2 linked regions of the Xenopus tropicalis genome follow. The protein of the gene in region 2 interacts with the protein of the main gene of each other region in a pairwise test. Links are inferred from orthologs where the notes say so. Each region holds a gene or a part of one and is shown on either strand. Other genes may lie near its edges.

The links.
Region 1: the proteins of hspb11 (region 2) and ift27 interact in binary tests that used the Homo sapiens proteins (3 or more experiments, as listed by UniProt). The two-hybrid records come from large-scale screens. The link is inferred for Xenopus tropicalis from reciprocal best matches to the Homo sapiens genes IFT25 and IFT27.

The regions. Positions count from the first base shown.
Region 1 is NC_030680.2:123,419,760-123,423,581, reverse strand, and holds part of ift27 (intraflagellar transport protein 27 homolog), read right to left. Parts: intron 3,305-3,822; coding exon 3,187-3,304; intron 2,126-3,186; coding exon 2,016-2,125; intron 557-2,015; coding exon 458-556; 3' UTR 1-457. UniProt on the Homo sapiens protein: Small GTPase-like component of the intraflagellar transport (IFT) complex B that promotes the exit of the BBSome complex from cilia via its interaction with ARL6. Not involved in entry of the BBSome complex into cilium. Prevents aggregation of GTP-free ARL6.
Region 2 is NC_030680.2:97,386,608-97,391,015, forward strand, and holds the start of hspb11 (intraflagellar transport protein 25 homolog), read right to left. Parts: upstream 3,018-4,408; 5' UTR 2,917-3,017; coding exon 2,816-2,916; intron 1,584-2,815; coding exon 1,477-1,583; intron 846-1,476; coding exon 777-845; intron 1-776. Other genes in the region: lrrc42 (leucine-rich repeat-containing protein 42), read left to right, coding at 4,193-4,408. UniProt on the Homo sapiens protein: Component of the IFT complex B required for sonic hedgehog/SHH signaling.

The sequences.
Region 1 (3,822 bases), about 26 Mb from region 2:
GAAGGGTTAAACTTGATGGTCTTTTTTCAACCCAGCTTAACTATGTAACTATATTGTGGTCCTATAGTAATGAAATCATTTCAATATGCATTGATTGAGATAAAGAACGTTGAGAGAGGGCAGTTCCCTGGGCCCTGAACCTTCCTTAGCCAGACAGATAAAAAAATCATTACTAATGATGCATTCTTTATGAATTGTTTGATATTCAGAACTTGTGGCCCCTTCATCTGTTGTTGACTACAGTCTCCAGCATCCCACTTACAGCCTTCTGAGTGCTGGAATTTGCAGCTGAATATCAGCAAGACAGTCATAGGTTCTAGACTTCATCTCTCTCTGCTCTGGTTCTGACACTGTCCATTAAAGTTTCAAAGGTGCAGAACATCCAAATACACAAGAGCTATGATTTGTCCCATCAGATGTACCAGAGGTGCAGTGACTGCAGATGAAAGTAATGACCCTACATCAGGCTCCGGAAGTTTTCCACTCTTTCCTGGTACAGGTGATGAAAAGCTTTTGCCAGTGCTTGAAATGGCTGCTCAAAGTTTTCCAGTTCTTTCTGTAAAGGAGCAATTTACCACAAGATCAGAATCAATAATATTAAATGTTTAAAGGGAAACTATAGGTCTCTAAAAACATACAAATTACATACAAAGATGTTTATATATATATATATATATATATATATATATATATATATATATATATTATATTCAAATTTGGTAAGATTCTTTCATTAACCACCTACATAAACTATAAGTTGGTTTAACATTCATTCTGGGGGCATAGTTTCCCTTTAAATTATGATTAATAAGAAACTAAGATCTGGAGCTACAGACTACTGCCTGTAACTTGTATGTCTCCAGGGCCTGCTTTCACTGCTCTGCACATAATATGGTTTGGGAAGAGTGGGATAAACAACTGCATGGCCACAACTTTAAAATGTGCAAGTGAAATACTGCACAAAGAGTTTGGCAACAACCCACAAGAACACTGTAACTACCAGCTGTGAATGGCACAGTGTGTGATATTCAGTGTCCTGCACCAAAATAATGAGTGGGATGCTTTGTGGTTGCTTATAAAAGAGCCCCCCCCTCCCCATATTGATTCGCCTGTTCCATTCTTTCTGGGTATGAATTTTTCCCCCATTGTTTTTTCTACCTCATCTCTAGGGATCCCACAGTCCGGGCAGCAGATGGATGATGACAGGAGACATGTGGGTGACATCAAAGAAAAGTTGGTGACACATTGTTGCCAGGCTTATTGTGTCAGGGGGCAGGGCTGTGACACAGGGATCAGTGATTGGTTGATCACCGTGTCATCCAAGGGGAGTCCTGTCCAGATTCCCTTATTTGGAAAACCTGGCAGGCAGTTTTGACCCAGACAGCCTTTATGAAAACTGGGCTGTCAAAACCGGACAGGTGGCAACCCTACTCACCTCTCTCAATAATAAATCTTGGTTAAAAGGACATGTAGTGTGGCCCGCACGTGAACCTACAACAGAATGTTGCTGATGTGGCCACAGAGGAAGTAAATAAAGAGGTTGCACTATGGTGCTCTCCTTAGACATTAGATAAAGAATCTCAGACCTGCATCAAAATATCTATATAGCAACATTTGCTCAGAGTTTGCCTAATTGTATGGGGCAAATCAAAGGTTCTCTGGACCAACTTCCTGTTTAGCAGAGAGCATATTGTTTGCACTGATAAATATGACGGGAGGTGCCATATTGTATGCCTCATAAGAATAATCTCCAAAAAACTATAAACACATGACAGAACCTGGTGTGGCACAGTTGTGCAGGCCCTGTTGTGGAGCGTTCCCTGCTGGGGATTGGGGCTGGCAGCAGAGCCAGGCAATAGTCTGTCTGGTCTTGTCACTGTCAGTGACTGTATTGTTGTCCCTAGCTGTACAGCAAGTTGTGCCAATGGGCTGCTCCATTAGGGTTAACAGGCTCCTATTACAGAAGGACTGTGTGATTATTCTTTTAAAGATAGAAAAGAAGAAAAGATTATTACCGCAGACGTCTCAAAATACTCCAGTCCATTGCTTGCTGCCCACTCTTCTGCCTGCCCCCTTTCCACTGCTCTGCGGCCTGCCATGTCTGTCTTGTTCCCAACAAGAACACCTTACAAAAGCAAAGAGGTAGACACTATTAGCCAACTGGAAGAATGGAATAGGAGCAAGGAATTAAAGGGATGGTTTACCTTCCGGTTAAACTTTTTGAATTATTTGTCTTCCTCTTCTGCAGGGCCGGATTTTCCCTGGTCATCTCCCCATCCAACAACAGCCCCCAGGAGTGCGCATGTGCGAACAGCGGGTGCGTGTGCATGCGCGGAAGACCGAACTTGCATACGGAGCAGTGGGGAGAAGTCCCCATTGCTCTGTAACAGAACAAAATTTCAAAATTTTGGTGTGGTGGGGCTGCATGCCGCCCTCAAGTTGTGCCGCCCTAGGCCCGGGCCTTTGTGGCCTCTCCCCAAATCCAGGCCTGCTCTTCTGACTTTCCAGCTTTCACATGGTGCTCACTAACCCCAGCAGCCATATTGCTCTGGGAGGCTACAATTTTTTTCATTACGGTTACTTTTTTTTTTTACTTTCTATTTATGCCCTCCTCCATTCATATTGCTGTCTCTCCTTCAAATCACTGCATAGTTGCTTGGTTAAATTGGACCCTAGCAACCAGATAGCCACTTCAATCCAAACTGGACAGCTGCTAAACAAAAAGCTACATAATTTAAAAAAAAAAAAAAACACAAATAACAAAAAATGAAGACCAACTGCAAAATGTGGTGCAGCATGCTGAGCTACAGGTGCAAGGGAACCTTCCACACTGCACTGCTCCCAGGTCTCATACTGTATGTGGTTTCTATTGCATTAACCAACAAGCAAGCTGTAATATTGTGGCATTGATGTCAATTTGTCTGACATTTACAAAAGGACGTATTTTATGCCCACATTTGTGCATTCCGTGCCTGGCAGTAGGTGCAACATTTCTGATGAGTAGTGACAATGAAATTTAGGGAACAAAATAACACTGCATTGTGGCTAAAAAAGCAACTGTTTTTTGCTTTGTTGCCTTTAGTACCTGAGGCCCTTTCACTCCTTTCAATCAGCGACACACAAAATAAGAGAGAAATGAATGCATGCTACACAAGGAAAAGGAACTTTCCATTCTCTGGCACCAACCTGGGAGCTGAGGGCTGAATGTCTTCGCTCTAACTCTCTGCAACCACTTTGCGCAGCTACTGAATGAGCTCTCATTGGTGACATCAAACACCAAGCACAGGGCACCCGGCTGGTCCCACTGCATGAAAAAGAGCATTCAGAGAAAGCAGCATTAAAAATAGAAATGCTACAAAAAAATCTTATTTCTAATTCCTACATTCCCCCATAAACATATATTTTCATTTTAATTACCATTATAGGGTACCCACATGGATCCTGTAAATGATGGGCACACATTTCTATACACAATCATAAATGCATCGCTGTTTGTCCATATATTCTCATGTGAGAAATGCATTGGTTACTCTGGAAGCTTTATCCTTGCCTATCCTCAAAGTACTCAATTAGCCTGTACTAGTGAATTAGACATTGGATCTTTTATCAACATATGCCTTTTTCTACTACATCTTAGTAGTCCACCAATTCTCTGGAGTCTCTTTCGTCAAAAATGACTGGGAAGAGGTGAGTCTCTCTGGAAAGCTGCTGATAATTGCTTGTTTTGGCAACCCTTGGTTCAGAATGACTTTTGGGAAGAAAGCTCAAGATTGCTCCTAAAATTTCTAGTTATATGGGATACCCTATAGCAGTGGTCCCCAA
Region 2 (4,408 bases):
CCAGCACTTGTGTCCCAGGAAATGCTACACTCTGCACTTGGCTTCAGATTGAAAACCAGGCACAAGGAGCATAGTGCGGCATCACAAGGTGTAGGCTTGCCCTGTCCTTACCACAGTGCCCTTATATGACCTGGGTCTTTTGTCACTCTCTAACTTATATGTCTAAAAGATGCGCAAGTTAGGGACAGGTAGGGGTAAGAAACATAGGCGCCTCCAATATAGCACCAACAAGCTCACCTCACCAATACAGCACTCCAAAACAGAACACAGTGACCTGCTGCAATTCGCAAAGACCAAAAGGCTGTGTGCAAGACACACCCATCCGGGCCTTTTTTTTTTGCACTTTGCAGATGGTTGTTTGTTATCTAAAATGATCCCTAATTCATTATCATTTTCTCCAAGAATTGTTCAGAAGAAAATATTTGACTAGAAATAGGAAACTTCTGAAACTACAGATGAAGCCAGCTGAAGATCTGTGACTGCTGGTGGGCAAAAGGCTTCTTTTGCCAGCATTACACTATGCTTAAGTACGTTTATTATCAATCATTTTCAGGAAAACACTGCATTTACAAATGTAAACATATAAAATGCCACATATCTAAAAAAGTTTGTTTTGTCAAAAAAAAGTCTTAACATGTAGTACCCCACTCTTTTAAGGGTATCATGAATCCTACTGCTTATCTTCCAAGTGTCTTCTATAGTTCATTAAAGTTGCATATGTTACACAATACAGAATGTTTATCAAATTTAAATATGGTGCATGTTTAATTGCTTACCTCTTTCTAGACGGAGCTCAAAGTTTACAGGTTCTTTGGATGTGCTTGATTCAATTCTTACAGATCGTACTGAAAACCATAAAGGCCAAAGGAATAATAAAATAAAATTATGAAATGTGAGTCATAAATGCATTTAGTTAACTGCAGAGAGCAAAAACACCAGTAAGTATAAAGATAAATGAAGAGTTCAACCATGTGGGAAAAAGAGTTACAGAGGAGGTTTACCTTTAAAACAATTTTAGTATGTTGTCGATAGACCTATTTTAAGCAACTTTTCAAACGGTCTACTTTCTTATTTATTCTGGTTTTTAATTATTCGCTATCCTACTTCTTTCTGCCCTGCAACAAAAAAAATCTCTGTGTTTTATGGGGTCACTGATCCAGCAGCCATACTTTATATTTCACCATTTTTGCATTGTTATCCCACTACTTTCATCTTCCATCCTAACATCTAAACTGATGCCTGATTTCCTAGACAGGTAAGCCTTAGCAACCAGTTAAAATTCAAAGCCTGAGAGTGGCACAATGAAAAATATAAATTTATGGGCTTCTAGGGAACAACCTATACTTTTATTGCATTATAATATTATGACATGAAGTAAAGTTGAAATACATGGTACGATCAGTTACACAATAATATTCAAAGTTAACTGCCAAAGATGAAGAAGCAAAAACTAAATTTATGATTTCTCCATTTTACCTAATGAGCTCTGGAGGATGATCTTGTTAATTTTCTGAATGCCATTCAAACTGATTATGAATTCTTGAGGATACATACCAGTCGTTGTCCAGAATGTGTCTGGGTTTCTAAACAAAACATAACATAATTATGTAACTGTATGAGAGAAAAACAAAGTCTGAACAGTATTATCTGGTTGAGCCCAACATACCAATGCAACCAGGTACATACTAGGATCTGAAGTAGGCCCTGATAGACTCCTGCGCAATTTTTGAAACCCAACCCAGACCTCTGCCCTGCATTTTTACGTGCTTTGGCCCTTTACCTGATCTGCAACTGCCTTACCCACAACCTGACCACTAATAAACAGGAAGTGACATCGTGAGAAGTAGGTGGGGAAAAAATAACACATTTATAGAAACCACTTGTGCATCAATGTTTTGAGTGACGCAAGCTCCTTCAAATATTTTACAATTACAGTGCTGACAGGGCCGGTCAAAGTAACTAATCAGTGGCTTGAGGGGGGTGGCATATGGGACATAACTGTTCAGTTTGCTACTGAATCTGACCTGCGTGCTCACAAACTAACTGAACAGTTATGTCCCATGTCCCTAGCCCCCTAGCCCCCCCCCCCCCCCCGTAAAGTCACTGACTAACTAAAGGCTGCCATACACGGGCCAATTCTAGCTGCCGATATCGGTCCTTTAAGACCAATTCGCCAGCTTATCGGCCCATGTATGGGCACTAAAGACGGGTCTGCCCGACCAACATCTGGCCTGAAATGGGGCAGATATTGATCGGGCAGGTTTAAAAATCAGTTGGATCCTGCAGATGCCTATGTTGGCCAAACGACCGAATTAGCCAGATATCGCCCACCCATAGTTGGGGATATCAAGAGAACATCCACTTGCTTGGCAACCTCGCCAAGCGAGCAGATCTTAGTGTGTATGGCCACCATAAGAGGTTAGAGAGCTGAAAGCAAAAAGTAAAGTTCTGGCTATTATGTTAGACATCTGCCCACTCCAGCCTTTATAGATTACATTTTTGCCTAATTATATTGCAAAAATTTTGTATTTTGCGCAGGCCATCCATTTTACCCAGTTTCATTTTTACACTGAACTATTTCTTTAATGTCTAGGTCCTCTATTTATTTGTATGCTATTAGTTATTTATCAGTACTTGCCCAAGCTCAAGCACTATAACACACACTACAGCTTTTAGAAAAATTGCAAACAGGAACATTTTGCCACAGGTAGCCAACAAAAACTACTGGGAACATTACATTGTGAGAATAATATCCCCGCAGCAGCCGGCATGGCTGTACTACTAATGGAGAAAGCCTGAGCACATCAATACCCACCCGTCTATAATGTTGTCTGCCGGGTGTCTGTCATCGCTGCTGGTAGCCAGTGTGACCCGGGCTCCGGCACAACTCAGGCACAAGTCCCCTGCCCGTGTCATGCTCAGGCCGTGGCTTTGGCGTGGAACTAACAAGCAGCCCCTTCACATTCGCTCCACTTACTTTCCCCCCTGTTGTTACGCCGTTGCCTAGCAATTTGGAACGTCTTCCGGTGCCAGAGCTGTGTTCCCGAGTTAGCGTATATAGTGTGCGCGGCCGGGGGGGAAGGTTCCGTAGAGCAGACGTTCCGGGTGCAGTTTACTGGTCTCTGCAGAGAGGTGAGTCTCTGGTTTTATAGTTTATGTGTAAATATTGTCCGTTATGGTGTCACCATGAGCGTGTGGTGATCAAAACTCACACTCGGAAGTTTTTTTTTTTATTCTTTATGCTTGTGGATTTGAGATGGGAAGCTCCTTCATTTCCTAGGAGAATTAGCATTTGATTTAGACTGTAAACCGATTGGAATAGGAAGTTACTGTACAGCGCTGCCTTGAATTACAGAACCATTAACATTCATTTTGAATCAAGGGTTTGTGTGCGGTCATGCACGACACCCAACTTACAGCATGTGTATTCAGTAAATATCATCTTTGATGGTAATCTTACACAAAAAAGAACTTTAATATAATGCACCGTTACCTTGTAATTATCACTGTTTTATATTGACATTCTTATGAACTAGCCTAGTTTTAGCCAGTGCAGGACTGTAGGGTCCAAAGAAGTTGTTAGAAAACAACAGTGTTAGGCTATAGCTCTGCTTTTTCCTTTTTGAATTATAATCACCTTTGCATTCTTAATTTACTTTGTTTATAAAGGCACCCATTGCTAATATGTGTTCCCTTGCTCTATCTGCACATATGGACTCTACATTTTCTTTTACATTGGCAATATATATCTTATTAAAGATGGTCATATATATTATTATATATATTGTTTTCCATAGCCCCTTTTTCATTGTGATTTATTTCATCTAGATGTATGGGGTGAGATTTACAGCTCAGTGTTTCAATTTAGTCTTATTTTTATCTTGTTTCAGGACAAGCTAGATTTTGTAAGCATATAAATATATAAAGAGTCTGCATGAGTCACAATTTTAATTGGAAATAAATAGCTTTGACCTAAATACTTTCTAGTGAAAACCTCTGTCATTCAGACAAGATGCAGTGTCCTTAATAAACAGCAGTGAAACAAAACTACTTAGTTTTTGCGGATGAAAGGTAAGGTGAGATCACTTCTAATAAACTGAAGGGGCATTACCCTATTACACCAATAAACAATTGCTAAGTTAGAATGGAATATTACATTTGCTTAAAACTTTTTTTCTTTTCCTGTAAGAAGATGTTTCAGTGCCTTGAGCCAGAGAGGAACGAGGAGACAGGACCGGTTTATGTGCGAGAGAGAGGAAAGCTGTCAGTTGTTGGGTCACATGTCTCTGAGCTCAGGACTCGCCCATGCCGCCTTTTCTCTAAAGGATTCTCAGTGGAACTATGTGGGAAGCAAGAAGATACCTCAAGACACAGGCAGAAACCTTTTATTTTTACATATACTAAGGAG